Linked DNA regions of Schizosaccharomyces pombe. Changing the gene in region 3 together with the main gene of any one other region gives a genetic interaction. Each region holds a gene or a part of one and is shown on either strand. Other genes may lie near its edges.

Region 1 (4,425 bases), on a different chromosome or scaffold from region 3:
TCTTTTTAAGCTCGTTCAAACTTGGAAGTACAGTGTTGGCATCTCGACCCCTTACCTTCGCACGTTAAATGAAACCCGATCCAAGAATGAGAAAAAGGCTCTTGAATCTCGAAAGTCCAGTATACCGTTGCAAATGAATTATGCTTTGTATGTCGTGAATGAGGAGCTACAAAGCTTATCGCTCAAATCAAAGCGTAATATCACTTGGGTTTCTGAAGGCGCCAATACAATGGACCGGGGCCGTCAGCTTTTAGAAGTAACTCATCCACGTGGTCGACTGGATGCAGGCACTATGTCAACAATGGGAGTTGGTATGGGATATGCTATTGCCAGCGCATTTGCCCATTCATCCGACAAAATAGTGGTAGTTGAGGGTGATAGTGCTTTTGGCTTTAGCGCCATGGAACTGGAAACCGCCATACGCAACCAGCTGGATCTTTTGGTAATTGTAATCAATAATAATGGTGTTTACCATGGATTAGATACTGATGCTTATGAAACTTTACGTGATAATCACCAATTACCGACTACTGCCTTAGGCACTAGTATACGTTATGATCAAATTTGCGAAGCATGTGGTGGTAAAGGTTTCTTTGTAAAGAATGAAGAAGATTTGAGAAGTTCCCTCAGGAAAGCATGGCAAACCTCATCTGTATCTCTCATAAATGTTATGGTGGACCCGGAGGCTGCTCGAAAATTGGTAAGTATTAATGGAATGAATTAGGTATAAGAACAAGCTAACAATCACTAGACATTTGCATGGATGAGCAGTACCAAAGTGAAACCAAAGTTATGACCATCATTTAATTAAAAATAGAAGAAGTGATGTTCTTTTACGATTCTTAAAAATCGGAATACAGTTATTGTTGCTATTCAAATAAAGTCGTTTATTAAAAAAAAGTATTAAATATAATCTAAAGGAAATTAAAAATATTAAAAAATATAAAGATAGTGATAAAACAGCAGAATTAAATAAGCTTAGAGTATGCTTGTTCTATGTCCTTCAGCAACCATTCCTTAGTAGAATTACGATTTCTTCTTAAAGGTAAAGCACCTTCATATGTACCATTATTAGGCTGAGCTGGTAAATCTAATATATGCGAAAGAATGCCATAAATTTCGGTGTTCTGGAACGGTGCAAGCTTCTTTCCCTTAAAATTCTTAAAAGAAGATCCTGAAGCGATAAAAAGTGCTCTCATCACTGGAGACAAATTGTCATAACCATGTACACCCAAAGGCTCATACTCCAACTCCGGTGAATGATCCAGCATCGAGACAAGAGACCATCCAACATCCGGGATCATCCAAACGGGAGCTATTCTTTCATTATTTGAGTAATGCCATCGAGAAGGTATATCTTTCTTTGAATAAACATTCCAATTCTCAGCAGAAGGTAATGACGAGCGAGAATAATTAACAAGACTTTCGTAAATGTACTCATCATCTAAATCAGATTCTCCTCTAAAACCTCCTAACGGCCAAGCATCTCTGTGTGCAACGGCAGACAAATTAAACATATTATCCAGCCAGATAAGACGATTATCGGATGTAGGCGCCATTCCATGATCACTTAAAAAAATAATGTTGACATGCTTATCGATATTTCTTTTCTTCAGTCCTTCAATTAGTTCACCAATTACGATATCAACTTCTTGAATTATGATATTCAGTTCAGGCGAATCCGGTCCAAATGCGTGCCCAACCATATCTACATGGGGAGCATAAGCAAGTAATAACTGAGGGCGGTCTTTATCAGGAAGATCCAGCCATTCGAGTATTCTATCTTTCTTTTCTCTTAGAGTCGTATCAAAATTGAAACCATCCGAATAAGTAGGTCTGTAACCATGATTCTCCACTTCATTTCCAGGCCACATATGTACCGCTGATCGAACGTTATTTCGCTCAGCGTTGACCCATATAGGCTCCCCTTTATCCCACCAAGTTGGGTCTTTGTTACATTCAGGCATACTGTTGACAAATTGCTTCCCAGTTACAGGATCAAAAAAGTTGTTACTAACGATTCCATGGCTCTCGGGATATAAACCGGTAACAATAGTATAGTGATTAGGGAAAGTTATACTAGGAAAAGAAGGAATCAAAAAGGGAACATGGACATTACGTTCAGCCAGGCTCAGAAGATTAGGTGTGAACCCACGATATAAGTAATCAGCACGGAATCCATCCAAGGAGATTACGATGACAGTGGACTGAAAAACATTGGTCCCATTGTTGAAGGAACCTCCAACGATAGGAAAAATAATTGCTTTGAAGCAAAATAATTTCACAATTGCCAATATCAGAATTCCTAAAATGCAAATAGCGGCAATTGCTAGTCCCGATCGTTTTGCCCATTGATTCAAATAAGCCTTTCGATCATTTTTCAAAGGCAAATACTCGTTGGACCCAATATTAGCCCAACTAAACATTTCGGCGAATGTTCAAAATCAATGATATAAAGGAGTATTGTTAGGTATATCATATAATCTGTCAAATAATACTTACTTGAATAACGATGCGAAAAATATTGTTAAAATCATTTAACGCTTTCAAAGATATGCGGTAAACACTTTGTTCTAACTTACTTCAATTCGTAAACTATTCAGTCCTCTTAAATGTTCTGTCGTATAGGAAATGTCATCCTTTGAAACGTTTAGTGAAATGAGATAGCTTTTTTTCATATATGAAATTCAACTATTAATAATATTTGGATTCAAGGAGGAAACATCAACTTATGTTAGAAGCATTATTTGGCTAAAGCCTCAGAATAAAAGATTTTGTAGAACAAGTTTATTTGTCTTTTTACTGTTTCTGTATGGAAATATTAATTAACCATTTTTCAACTTATCATGATTCGTTCTGGATAGCGAACATGTTATGTCTATGGTTTTACATGATGTTAAAATAAATGGTAGCGATACTTTTTGTTAGGTCGTTTCTGAATTCGAAATTTCTCTTTATTTCTTTGTTGATTTTTGGGGAAATCGACCTCATCATACATTCGCAAAAGCGTGGCTTTGTTGTTGTAATTAAGGGCCTTTAAGTCTATTCCCTTAAACGCTTTGGTTATTAGTGAAAAAAGATCTTTTCGTTTTTGGTCTGTTAAATTTGTGGTCTCCTCCTCGGACGCAGAGAAAGCAGCTGAGTTTGAGGTTTCAGTACCACTGTCAGCTGGTGTTGCTTTTGGAGGAGGATGAAAAGCAAAAATACCATTTAGAATTAAAGTTGCTGACGTCTGACAATTATTTTTATTAATATTATCCGAACCGCTTATGTTTTTTTCAAAGTACGTCAAATCTTCAACATTTTCTGTTTGTGGAACGAACGGACCTGGCCCACTATTTAAATTATCCCATTTAATGGTTCGAAAAAAAGGATGTTTTTTGATTTCCTGGTATCCATTGCTACCCAGCCGTTTGTTACAGTCTGGATCCATGAGTTTGGTGATTAAGTCTACCGCCTCCTTTGAGCAGCTTTCTTTCACTCTTTTAGTCCAACCAATATCATTTCTCTCTATGCGAGCCCATATTGCTTTTACAGTATTTGCTTCAAATGGTCGCGTGCCAGTCAACATTTCGAATATCACACAACCCATCGCCCATATATCGCCCATCTGAGTATCAACGCCCATTAAAATTTCTGGAGCCATATAATTTGGCGTCCCTGAAATATCTTTTTTGATGAATGTCCGGTTTTCCTTTTTCTCTAACTGATTCATTAACATGTGTATTGCTGTTTCATCCATGTTATTGATATCAAAGTCAAGTAAATGCTGGACCGAGTCATTGGCATAATCACTATTTTGCTGTGGACTCTCCGCTTTCTCAAGCTCATCAATATTCCCGCGGTAATTTCGAACATATCTTACAAATTCGAATTTTTTAGGTTGAAGCTGCTCATACAAATTTCCATGTTTCTGTTCAAATGACATCCTCTTAGTAAGCTTATAAACCTCTTTTTTTTCCTCTACGTTTTCACTCAGTCCGAAGTCTGTAAGCCGAATATGTCCTGTTTCGTCAACCAACATGTTGGCAGGCTTTATGTCGTGATGGATGATTCCATCCTGATGCAAAAGCTCGATAGCATTTAGTAATTCAGCTGCGTACTGGCAAACCCATTGCTCTGGTAACGGTCCTAATTTTTGAATAAGTGTTTCACAATCTCCTCCATTAAAATAATCCATTACAAGGCATAGGTAGTCCCCAGAATCAAATGCATAATATAATTTCACTGTGTTTGGTCCATATCTTTGGATATGCATGTTACGCTTTTCAAGCAATAGTCCTTTTATTTTTTTTAAGCTATCAAGACTGGATTTTGGAATCATTTTAAGAGCAAAATACTTTCCTGAAGATCTTTTTTTAGCAAGATAAACCCTACCGTATGCCCCTCTGTTTATTTCTTTTAAAAGTATGAACTCGTCTAATG
Region 2 (4,700 bases), on a different chromosome or scaffold from region 3:
TAGTCATGGTTGGAACATGTTCTCCAGATCTGTTTCCCAACAGATTCAAGACGTAAATAAGTCCTATATTCAGCCAGGGATTACAAAGGTACAAACATTTTATTGTATCCAAAAAATAAAGTTTCTGTTGTACTGACTCTGTTTTTAGGTTCAAGATCCCGAAACAAGGAAGGATTACATGAATGCCATTAATAATTTCTCTAGTAACGTTCAGGAAGGTGCTAAGCAATCATTTACACAACTTAAATCCTTTTTGGATGAAAATGTATATTCCGAAAACCCCCAAAACACCCGCGGTACTTATGATGCGGAAATCGACTCTCCTTATTCAGCTCTCGCTGCCTCTCCTCCACCTGAAGACTATTCGAAAAAGAATTTCGATAAGCACGATTGACTTTTTTATTATTAAACTCGTAAGCAGTTTGATATGTTTCATTGCTGTTAGGAGTGCCTCGTCTATCAAGCATTCGTCAGCTAAAACATAAACGAAGAACGCTACCGATAAAAAAAATATTGCTACTTCATTAGAATTATCTGACATTTGAAGCTTCTTCAAGTATAATACATGGGGAACTGAAAAAAAAAGTTTGTATATATTGAAGACGGAGTCTTCTTGTTTATTTCTGTTACAAAAGTTTCATCGTTTTAGGCTTATAGTTCAAAACAATGAAAAAAATGATAATAACATATTTTATTTTCATTAGCATAAGTTGAATGCCGGCTAAATTTTAAGAAGATAACCGGATCATGTGCTTTCTTGAATAAAACCAATGACTTTTTTCTTTTTTAGTCGACGATGCCTAATCGGTATGTAGAGTGGATTTTAAAAGAAAACAGGAAAGACGAAGATATGAGGATATAGGCATTGCCGGTCATTTTCCAAAACAAAAATGCTGGTCATAACATAATTAAATCAAAATGCTTAAAAGCTCAATGATAAAAATCATTCTAACAAAAGACAATAAGTCATTGACCCATCAAATATGGTCATAAGGCGCACTGCCTCCAGTGTCTAAGTTAGACAACGGCTGGCTAGTAGCATTGGCTGATTCGTTACTAACTGGTACGTAATACTGATTTGGGTCATAGTAATAAACGAAACCGAAGGGGGGAGTTGAGACCTGACTAGCAGGTGAATAAGATCGTAAAGTATCGGCAGCAGGATTGGACATTACATTCATATCACTGCCAGAAAATGGAGGAGGCATATAAGGATAGACCGCGGGAACGGTGGAATCATAATTTTGAGGAAACGACCAGTAAGTCGGCATAACAGAGTAGGATTGATATGCAATCGGACTATTGGCAGTAGGTAAAGGGGTTGTGTACATGGTTCCCGGTGCTGCAGGTGCATTACCAGCGGGAACATTGGTCATGGATGGCATTTCACCGGTAGTCATATTCGCAGAAATATAAGCTTGCTGAGAATCATCTCTTGCACGTACATTAGAGGGATATATGGAAGTAGGGTACGTAGCGGAATCAGCGCTAGGATGCATATCCACAACAGGAGCGTTAGAAGATCCCGGTGTGGCCGAAGGGGACTTTGAAGTTGATGGAAATTCCTCTTGAAATGAGGGTGAAGGATACATTTTGTCATTTGTAATAGGAAAATCGTAAGGGACAAATCCAGGAGGAGCAGAATGAGTTGGTACAGTGGCTGGAAGAAAAGCCATATGTGGATGGGAAGAGACGTTAGGGGAAAAAGGAATAGGCGGAGCTGCAGAAGGTAAAGGGGAGAAAGGTAAGGGATACATTCCCATAGGAGGAACATTCATTTTATGTTTGGGTGTAACCAGTGCTGGTTGGGATCCAGGTATACTGACGCGAAGAACTTTGTTCTGATGGAGACGGGGATTATGCACGACATGGACAATTTTCTTTTTAGGTTGAAAATTGATGGCTTTCATAGAAGAGTTTCCAAACTTTACACGGATATCGAGGATCCTTGACGATTTACGATACCCCGAATTTTTTCCCTCTTTCCCTTGGGAATTAGGAAAAGAGGTGTTATTAAGAGGCTCCTCAAAATACTGCGTATTAGGAGTATAACCACCTCGTTTGTAGTTCTGATATCCATAAGCCATACCAGCTTCCCTTCTGGAAGGCATGGATGAGGGAACAGATAAATACTGCGGATCCGCTTCCAAAGGTTTATACATTGAGAAGGGATAGATATTGCCGGGAGCATTATTTAAACCAAAATATGGCATGGAGTCAATTCCCCCGGTAGCGTTTATAAAATATGTAGAATTTTGTATAGGAGGATAAAAGTTTTTTCGGTTATTGTTATAATCATCTCTCTTGGGTTTTCTTCGATATCCTTGAGAATTTTTGTAATACGTCCTGTTGTTACCGTAATGGGTTTCTCGTCGGCTTACACCAAATCCATTACTTACAGGTAGCTCATCAAAGTTCTCAGTCTCCAAACCAATTTCCTCGGCGGTGACTTTCATATTTCCTTCTTTTCGCGATTTAATATCTGTGGACGCGTCATCGTTCGATGGAACTTCAGGATTTTGATTTTCCTCTTGAACAATTCTTTCGACCGCCTCCTTCTCTCTTTCAGCGCCCAATCGTTCAAATTCCGCCATTTCTACCTCAATTTTCTCCATTTTCTTATTTAAAATTGAAGTTTCATCTTCATTCATTATTTTAAGTCAATTCAAAGCAGAAATATTCAATTCCGCTTGAATTCCAATATCCGTCTACTGTATTGTTAAGGCCGGGTACATTGCTCGCGTATGGCAATGAATACATAGTGCATGCTTTAGCTTGCGGACCGTAAAATGTAAAATAACATTACGCGTTCTAACGCATTGATAAGATTACTTAGCAGGTTGCAATGCGGAAATCTTAAGATAATAGAAATCTAGAATATTACCATTGTTTCTAGTAGTATTAACAATTAAAATAGGAAAATAAATTAATTAAATAATATTCAAAGATGAAACGACCGATTAGATTAATAGAAACGTGGCTTGTAGTTAGATCGCCGGATTATTTATTTATATGAGTTCCAAAAAAAAAAACAGAAAAAGAGTATTTATAGAATCATTATATCGGGTAGTATATGTACATATTTGAGCACAATTCAACAATATTAGCACATTATAAAAAAGTAAGGCTGGTAAATTGGGATTTGGATGGAAAACCCTGAAGCGTCGTTGCATCAGCTGAGATGGATAAAGTAGACGAGACGACGCCAATAGGAGACATTCATATTAAAAAGTGTGTTGTAGTATCCGGCTTTGATACAATCCGTTCAGGTTGAGTGTCCCTGCGCCGCTTCATGGGGATGTCCACGCTTTCAATGACTCCATTGTGTGTTATGTAGTCCATAAATCATTTTAGGACGATCGTAGTTTAAAAGCAAACAACGAGTCAAAGTGGATTGATGCTCTTAATCGTTTTATAAATAAAAACCCAATTAATAGAAAAAAAAAGAGTCTTAATTATTTGATGAAACCTTCATGATATACTCATAAAATGTGAACTACTCAAGAATCATAAGCACGTGGGGATAAATATTCAATGGTAGCCGAAGGAAATAAAAAGTGCCGAGGTACTTTAACTAGCACCTCTGGACCGAAGCCTGTGCCCCCATTTTTCCCTAACAGGAGAGTGATCTTCAAAATCATAAATGTTATTTTCATTTTTCATGATTCGACGTTTTTTGATGCCGACATTTTCAGCTTTTGTTAAGTTGACCTCTTTATTATTATTCCTCCCATTCGAAATTCCACTCTTAGAGCTTGCAAAGTGCTGATCTATATATTCTAAATCATTTTTTCTTCGATACGCTTTCATTTCTTCATGTTGTATGTTATATTTTAAAGGTACCTTTGTAGTATCTGGTTTCTCATTTTCCATAGAGAGTCGTTTGTAAGAAAACGTATGAAGCAGGCTATATTCGGCTGCCTTTTTTTCTTTCTCACCAACAGAAAATTCTAGGGAATTTTGAGGAACGACTTTTTGAATCTGTTGTTTGAGATTTGATGAAGAGGGGGACAACAAGTCGTCAAGTTGAAAACTGTCGTCATTGCTTGAGGGCGAAAGTATCAAGTTTGAAAATTCTGGTAAAGAGTCTACCCTAGTGTCTACCCTAGTGTCTAACGCCGTGGATGGAGTCATGTCGGTTTGCGATATATCAACCTCTCTTTCATTCACTGCATTCAGCGGTTGAAGTTCGAGTTCATGTATTGAAGCTTCAGCATCAGAATTCGCCGTTTCCAATAAATTAAAGTCGTTATAGCAAATAGAATCACTTGGTCTAAAACCTTGATCGCCCCAAGTAGTAAATAATGTGGTGTCCGTATTTTCGCAATTGGCTTCACCTCCAAAGTTAAACGTTTCTTTACTCAACGCAATATTCTCAAAATTGGAGTGATTCAAAAAGAAGCTTGGTGTCCAATTGATAGCAAATGAAAACAACGCCTGAAAGATCAACTGTTCGAGAACGAATGACTTGATTTTAGGACGAACGACAATGTCCTCACGAAACGTAGTTGCATGTAAACTTGACAGAAAATTACACCTAGTATTTTCTCGCTTCTTGAAAGCCTTAATTATCGAGCGCCAGCTGGGTGCCTTTTTAGTACTCTTAATCCTCTTTTTTACTAACTGAAAAGAGCAATTATTCTTTCCTGTTTGTATTTGAGATTCTTGACATTTCTTAATGATATTATGATTAGTTGAAA
Region 3 (3,465 bases):
GAAGCAATGTTACAAATAAATGTATAAGAAGGAATTCCTGTATTAGAAATTATATTACATTTTCATATAGAAATGATGATTTATGGTCTATTGATGTTTTCATCGTTAGTGCTTCCCATGATAAAAACAAATAAATTGCCATATGTTGAATCCTTCAGATTTTGAGTAAGGCTGAAGATGAAATGTCGCAATAATTCATAACTGTAATACTACATAAAGACTTTGATTATTGAGTTTAACTTTCATACATTTATTGCATTTTTAGCAAATGCAGTAGAACGGGCTTTCAAGAGATACAGAGGAAGAAAAGCGTAAGGGAATTATAAACTGGAATTTGTAAACATCTCTTGGAAATTATATCAATCTTGAATATTGGCTCATCATTAAAAATCATAGTGGAATACTTGGTTGTTATTCGAGTAGTTAGTCAGAAGTTATTGTTTTGATACACATAACCTTACTTGAATAATGTTACAAAAAAGAAAAATTATAATGGAAATAGATGAATCTAAAACAAATTTAATTTTTAAGCGATAAAATTGAAACAAACATTCGTCAACAAACTACTCTAAAATTTCACCTGCTACTAGTTTTACTACGAAAACGTAATATACTAGGGTTTCACAAGGTAAGTCATACATTCTAAATTTCTCCTTCCAGCATTTTGAAAATATCTTCTTTGCTCTAGACTTTGTTAAATACAGATGTAATAATATATGTTAACCACAAACTGCACCTACTTGACATGTGAATGGATGATATCTAAGAGGTGAAATTCAAATCTAAAGTAATGTTATGCAACATCTGTTAATTGTGTTTGTATTTCTTCTTAAAAATAATTACACATTTAACACGAAGCCATGAAAAGCGTTAGAGGTTTCGCCTCTAACTGATTTAAAAAGGAAACCCAAATTTTTTCCCTTCTTAATTTATGTAAAAGTATTGAGAAATACCTAGTTATAAAGATGAAATTTCGAATATTTCAAATTTCATATAAAGAAAGATTTCTTTACAAGAAATGAATGAGTTTTAAGAATATATTCACAACAAAGCATTTGATAAAATTGATTTATTAAGTATGCATTGAAACATTCTAATGAGATTTTTTAAAGGAAACTGCAAAAAAATAGGGCGGTATATATGCAACTCGTTAAAGACGAGTAGTATAAGAATTGCTTCGCTTTCTTCAAAGACTAAATATGGAAAAAGAGTGGGGGATTACTATATTAACAAGTTTTCAGAACAGAAACAGAAACAATTACAACTATCTACAACCGAGAATCTCTTTAATTAATGTTTTCCAGTTCAGTCTGGTTGAAGATTCGTTTTTTGGCTTCTAAGTTAAAATCCAAGTAAATAACTGACGGGTATTTTATTTTAGAATAAATCGATAGGAATCCGAATCGTTTATAATATAATAAACGGGATAAAAGCTACTCATATTGCTAATGATAATCCAGTAGGCATACTACGACTGAAGAAACATAATTTTTTTTCGAATTTTTCCTTATCTAATGGAACCAGTACCATTTCGTGAATTAGCAGATTTTCATTTGTTTGTTTTGGCCTCGTTATTCAAATTCAATAATGTAATGGAAGATTTTCCAAGAATAATAGACGTTGATAACAATGGGTGGGAAACCGCAAATTTTGTTTGAAAATCAGAGGGAAGATCTACACAACAAAAAGAGCAACAAATTTGAGCAGTAGAGAAAAGACCAAAAAAGCGTGTGTTTTCTGAGACAAATGTGTCACAACTCGCCGATAAATTCGCAATCACATAAAAATTGGTATTCGTTATTGACTAGTGGGAAAACCACGTTACCTCAACGATTTGCAGTTGTTACCACTTTTGGTGACATTTCAAAAAGAAAAAGGTGATTTGCAACGTTTGAAATTGCGACGATCATGATCTACGCGAAAATATCTCATTTTATATATGTACGAGTTAATCTATTTTTGTTGCTGAAAAAAGAAAAAAAAAACTATATAAACCGACTAAAATCAAACATTTCTTTACAAACATTCAAAAGATATTTCCATATGATTTTCAAAAACTTAATATCTCTCTTTTTCATTGGGCTCGCTACCGCCATACGCTTCAACCTCACTGATCTTGAGTGTAGTAGACTACGCGGTCCGCATTGTGGTACGTATCTACTGAAAGTAGTAGGAACGAATGCTACATACGTTGGTGAAAAATCATTTATAGGTCTTGATGCTTTGACTGAAAGTAAAGGTGAATTTTTTCAGCGTATGTTGGAACAAGAACCTCGACTTATTCCACGTTTGTTTACGATAGCTGAAAACGACACGGCCAACTTTACTCCCTTGACATTTACAACGTATTTGAAAACATGCAATCCTCAAAGTATTGAAAATGCAATGATCCCTTTTGTGAATACTGTTACCAGTGAAATTTCTTTTGATGCATGGGCGTATACAGCACAAAATTCAAGTCGGATAACGGGTCTTAGCAACCAACTGATGAATTCTACTCTATATAATGTTCAAGTAGCAACATGTACTCCCGGATTCTCTGCGTTATTGTTAGATAGTCCTACAATCAATGTTTTTAATAACGAGGAAGGCATGCCAAGTTGGTGTCAGCCCATTGAACTTATACCAGTTTGTCCTTTGGATGAGGGATTCAACTGATATATATATAATCGTTATTTAAATCGTGGGATTTAAAAATAGGGGTTAAATTTATCCTCTAAAAACATTTAATTAGAAACGCTTAAGCAATAAAAGTCTTTATACTAGATAAAATATTGTAAATTGTTTTTTTTATTTTTTTTTTTTATTTTAAACTTATACTAAACATATTTTCTAACAAATAACGGAATTCATAAGTATTTTGATTTTGTTTATGTGTTTTTCGCTTTTTATTGTGTTTTAATGGTAAGGAAAAGTTATAGCATACTTCATTTTACTAGTGAAAAAAGCATAACAGGAAATCTTTTAAGTTAGCGACAAACAGTTACTCGGCTTCCAAGCGGTTGCAAATCATTCGTAGTAGATCGACAATCTTGGAATGAGTCTATCAAACAAATCCGCGCTAGGCAGTACGCTAAAATGAACAGCAACACATTTGATTTTACCGAGTATTGAGTATTCTCATCGTCGTTATAACCATTAACGGATTTGTACGTTTTGTTTATCTTCACAGAGCCAAGAGATCAAAGAAGGACTGAGGTGCGTTAAGTACGGTCCAACATGTAATTATGTTCTTTGTCACAAATTAGAGCCACAGATCCTAAAAGTCTAAAATACGAGACAAGGTATGATTTTTCAAACTGTCCCTAGAATAAGAGTTGATCAGCCAAAATTATTGTGCAAGATGAAGCTGTAAGGCTAACTAAAGACTAATGATTCTATAAATAGAAAACATAAAACATAATGCTGAATAAAATGTTATAAGCTACTGAGCTCAAGTCGCTTTTAAGGTTTATAATAGTTTCA
Region 4 (4,376 bases), on a different chromosome or scaffold from region 3:
TATCTCACCAATTTGAGGATCGTTTACATAAGCCCACCGACTTCTATAAGTCAACAATCGTCTCAAAAACTCTTCTCTGCTCCAGGGCTTATATGTGCATTTAGAAGCTTTTAGAGACTTTAAAAGAATATCTTCATTTCTTTCGTCAATTTTGTCTAACTGATCCAAAATTTCATTTGTCTCCATATCGGTAGGAAATGACATTATCACCCGTTCTAAGAGTTAAAAAATTATATTTCTTTTCGAAAAATGTGGTGTCTCAAATATTATCATAGAAAACTTTTATTACATGCCTTTTCCAAACGTTTTCAGCAGGAATCAAGGTAGCGCAAGTCAAAGTACTTAGGAAGGATCTCAAAATACCAATTTGGATCATGAGCTCAATATTCGTTTCATCAAAATTGTTAAAAAGTTTTACCGTTTTAAGAAAACATGTCCATGTTATTAGCCAAACCACACTTGAAGGCATAAATTCCTTGAAATTGATCAACACCACCGTATAGTAAATTTACGAGAATACTAAAAGTAAAATAGTAAGGTAATATGGAAAATAACTATACAATTAACCTATTCATACTGACCTGTGTAACTATACCTGAACAATTAAACATTGCTACTATATAATCCATAATTTAAGGTAAATAAAATATGTCATCCATAAAGACATATAACATGTTGTTAATTGTTTTGATCTAATTAAAAGGAGCTAATCATAAGCTTATGGCAAGTAAATATTTTCAAGATTACATTTTTTGTAGAATCCTCGATAACGCATATGCTAACATGCTGAAAAATCTAAATAAAGCCCTAAAGCTAGAATATTTCGGACAGATTATTGGGCGACCTTTTGAAAGTGAGGGTCTTTAGATGTTACAGCTGCAGTAGCTTCAATTACCTTTTCAAAAATACCTTTGTAGGCGGCTATAACACCGTTATTGTTCTTAAGAGTTCTTCCTACACCAAAGTCCAAAGGTTTGCCAAACATATCAGAAACAACACCACCAGCCTCTTCAACAAGAAGAGAACCACCAGCATGATCCCAAATTTTTTCTTCAAATGTCATTTTGGTTGGTAAACGAAGGTAGATGTCACCATCACCACGAGCAAGACTAGCGTATTTGGCTTGAGAATCCATCTTGGTAGGTCCACGAGTAATCCCTAAGTACTTTGCAATTTCTTCTTGAGTTCCTTGCATTGAATGACCAGCCTCTACTCCTTCGCAAAATTTTGAATCCTTGGTGTTTTGAACATCTTGCATGTGCACTTGAACTGGTTCTAATTTTTCGTTATGGAGAGAATACTGGAAGCAACCATGGTTACGAACAGCGGACATTATGATACCTTTGGGACTTGTCTCGGGCTGATTAAAGTCATATGGAAGATTAGGGCATCCAATGGCACTTACCACAGGTTTTCCATTCTCAATCAAAGCTAAACAAATAGCATACTGGGCACCACGTAGAAATCCTTTAGTTCCATCAATGGGATCCAAAGTCCACATACGACCATTGCGACCACCGTGATATGATCCTTGGTCAATAATGCTCATCATTTCTTCAGCTGACTTGATTTGACCAAGCTCTTTGTATTCAGTAGCATGTTGGATAGTTTCTTGAACTAATTCCCAAACACGAGAGCAGGTTTGGGTGTTTTCTCTCAAAAAGTCGGAATCCTCTTCGCCAACAATTGGATCATTGGGAAATGCATCTTTTAACATAGAGATTACGATAGCTTGAGCACCAAAATCGCCAATAGTCACAGGTGATTTATCATCTTTAGTAAGTGCCCCAGCAGCACTCTTCTCCTTGATAAGTTGATTAAACACTTTTTCGGTCAAATAGCTAGCTCTGCGCACAGCAGCAATAGCTAATTGTTTTTCGGCATCAAAGCTCATGGTAAATAATTTTCTAATGTTATTTATTAATGGAGGTATGATTTTAGCACCAAATTTCCTGTTAACACGGAGTTTGGAAATTTTTGTAAACCTGGGCAGTGGAAGTGCGAAGAATATGAAATCAGCATATACGGTGTTTAATTGACGTTTCCACATTTAACCAAAAATATTGTTCAAATAGAAGAAAGAACTAAAAAATTGTTATGAAACGAGAAAGAGTTTCATTTTTTCTGACTAAAAGACCTTTTTTTTTTGTAAAATCGCAGGTTATGCTAACTTTTATTAAACAATAATGATTATGTAGTTTCTATTGTGAAAAGAGCATGTTAATATTTTAAAACAGGTTTCTCCATGTCCACATTTTAGGTTTTCATTAATTATACAAACGACACTACTAAAGTCTGGGTATTGGCAAAGCAGTTCGCCAACCCTTCCAACCTATGGAGAAAGGATGAAATATAATATTAAGGAAAAAAAATATCATTCTGATGGAAAAAACGCATAATTTAAAAGCAGTGCAAGTCCGTATCTTGCGTTTCCCTTTAACAGGCAAATATGCCTAAAATTTTTATATAAGTGTAGATACCAAGGATGAAATGAAGGCATAAAAATATTTTAAAGGGATTGATTAGTAAAAGAAGAAACTGCTCATAAAATTTCCTTTCTCTCAAAATACTGTTGTTTGAAGAGACTTGAGAAATTAATGAACAATCAGATATTCCTCAATACAGATTGAAGAAATAGTTTCCTTATGGCAAATTACAATCATATGTAATATATTGTGATAACAAGACTTACATTCCATAAAGTCTAGTCGTTTTCAGGTCAACTCATAAATGTAAACAAAAGTAATACACCGTGACGGAACGTACTGCGTTATCAGATAAATGAGGTTCAGTCTAACGCGTCTTCTCATATTCAAACATAAACAAACATGAACATTTTCCCAATTGTTAAGTACTCTGTAGCTGAGGATTCGTATACTACAGATTCCTCCCATATCAACTGGTCACATTATTCAGATGGAGGTTTTACACTCTCATTAACGTCTGGATTGCTTCAAATTCGTCAACACGAAGAATTAATTGTACGCGACATGAAACCATATTGCTAGAAAAATTCAATATTTTTAACAAACAAACAGCAAAGTATAAACTTGTTAGATCTCTGGCACCAATTGATACCGGGAACGAAGGAAAAATGTCTAACTCTGCTTTCACGCGCTCCGTGTATGAATATTCGTGCTTTCACTAATAATGTAAGTAAAACAAAAGCAGATTTATTCAAAATCACATTGAGGCCTCTTTTTTTAAAAAAAAAAATGGAGTGTTGATGAAGCGTATTTTGTTGTTAATAAATTTAGGTGATGAAAAGATTTCAAGTGAAATTCCCATCTGACGTGCATTATATGAAAGCCAAAGTTGAATTTGAGAAGCTAGGCCTGGTGTTCAAAGATGCAAAGTCTTCCTCTGAGAAGAAGCAATTCAATAACTCCCAAAGTCAATCTAATAACTCACAGGAACTTTCGTTGATGAACAATGCATATAACAAGTCATCGGCGCAACAGCCAAATCTTTTATTACAACCGAGTTATATCCCCATGACCCAAACAGCAACAACTGCTGTGAACAATAGCACAAACTATGTCAATCCAGCACCACTGCAGCATGTCATGCCAAATGCTGAAATCTTCTCCAATACACCACCGCTTAAGCGATTCCGCGGGGATGCGGGCATGACCCAAATGCCCCTTCGAAGTGATACATCAATTGAAAGTATTACTGCGTCACAACAACCCACTTGGGATGAAAACGTGGTGATAACTTCATCACCTTTTAATCCCAATCGTAATGCCTACTCTTACGGTGCAAACTCACAATACCCCATTATTGCTGCTACGCCGCTGAACTCTCAGACACAGGCTTCGTGGGTTGCTCAACCGGAGAACCAAGCATACGCAAATTTGATTCCATCACCCCCAACGACTTCACAAATCCTACCAACAGAACTTACTGAAGAGGAAAAGCAATTACGCTCCAAGGTATTATTCTATCTAAAACAAGACAGCTTCATCCAATTATGTCAAAGTTTGGAACGGGTATGGAACAAGATGTAGGAAGACAGACCAATTCAACTTAATCCCAAATTTAAAAAAGTAGTAAAAATGGAACGAAATCAGGATCGGAATGGTTATTTCGACAAAATTGATGTGTGACCACAATTTGGCAACCAAATGAGAAACTTCATTAAGTTCACATTCTTCGAGTACCGTGATAAAACATTTGTTGCAAATTTTGACATTATTTAACGAAAAGTTGGTCGAGATCTCAACTGCATATGATCGTTGCTGAGGATTAGCAAACAGAAACCGCCAACACAACAATGTTGAAATAAATTTCTCTACTTGTTGCATGACTCTTTTCCCTTAGGCTTGTCCATGCAGAGCATTAAAATCAAATTGAGAAGATCCCGTTCCGATCCT

The links.
Region 1: mutations in SPOM_SPAC977.05C (region 3) and npp1 together harm fitness more than expected from each alone (negative genetic interaction), as found in Schizosaccharomyces pombe (one large-scale study listed by BioGRID).
Region 2: mutations in SPOM_SPAC977.05C (region 3) and SPOM_SPCC622.15C together harm fitness less than expected from each alone (positive genetic interaction), as found in Schizosaccharomyces pombe (one large-scale study listed by BioGRID).
Region 4: mutations in SPOM_SPAC977.05C (region 3) and tol1 together harm fitness less than expected from each alone (positive genetic interaction), as found in Schizosaccharomyces pombe (one large-scale study listed by BioGRID).

Annotation. Positions count from the first base shown.
Region 1 is NC_003423.3:1,209,927-1,214,351, forward strand, and holds npp1 (nucleotide pyrophosphatase), read right to left. Parts: upstream 2,466-4,425; 5' UTR 2,427-2,465; coding exon 969-2,426; 3' UTR 865-968; downstream 1-864. Other genes in the region: 2-hydroxyacyl-CoA lyase Hac1, read left to right, coding at 1-700, 752-796; serine/threonine protein kinase Ppk31, read right to left, coding at 2,897-4,425.
Region 2 is NC_003421.2:1,428,129-1,432,828, forward strand, and holds SPOM_SPCC622.15C (uncharacterized protein), read right to left. Parts: upstream 2,722-4,700; 5' UTR 2,652-2,721; coding exon 978-2,651; 3' UTR 615-977; downstream 1-614. Other genes in the region: SPOM_SPCC622.14 (GTPase-activating protein), read left to right, coding at 1-88, 149-394; Jmjc domain-containing protein Epe1, read right to left, coding at 3,571-4,700.
Region 3 is NC_003424.3:34,961-38,425, reverse strand, and holds SPOM_SPAC977.05C (Vel1p domain-containing protein), read left to right. Parts: upstream 1-2,043; coding exon 2,044-2,658; downstream 2,659-3,465.
Region 4 is NC_003421.2:1,547,522-1,551,897, reverse strand, and holds tol1 (3'(2'),5'-bisphosphate nucleotidase/inositol-1,4-bisphosphate 1-phosphatase), read right to left. Parts: upstream 1,995-4,376; 5' UTR 1,895-1,994; coding exon 833-1,894; 3' UTR 501-832; downstream 1-500. Other genes in the region: zinc finger C3HC-type containing RNA export factor Rsm1, read right to left, coding at 1-204; meiotic recombination protein Rec7, read left to right, coding at 2,829-2,981, 3,039-3,152, 3,258-4,010. UniProt on the Schizosaccharomyces pombe protein: Phosphatase that converts adenosine 3'-phosphate 5'-phosphosulfate (PAPS) to adenosine 5'-phosphosulfate (APS) and 3'(2')-phosphoadenosine 5'-phosphate (PAP) to AMP. May regulate the flux of sulfur in the sulfur-activation pathway by converting PAPS to APS.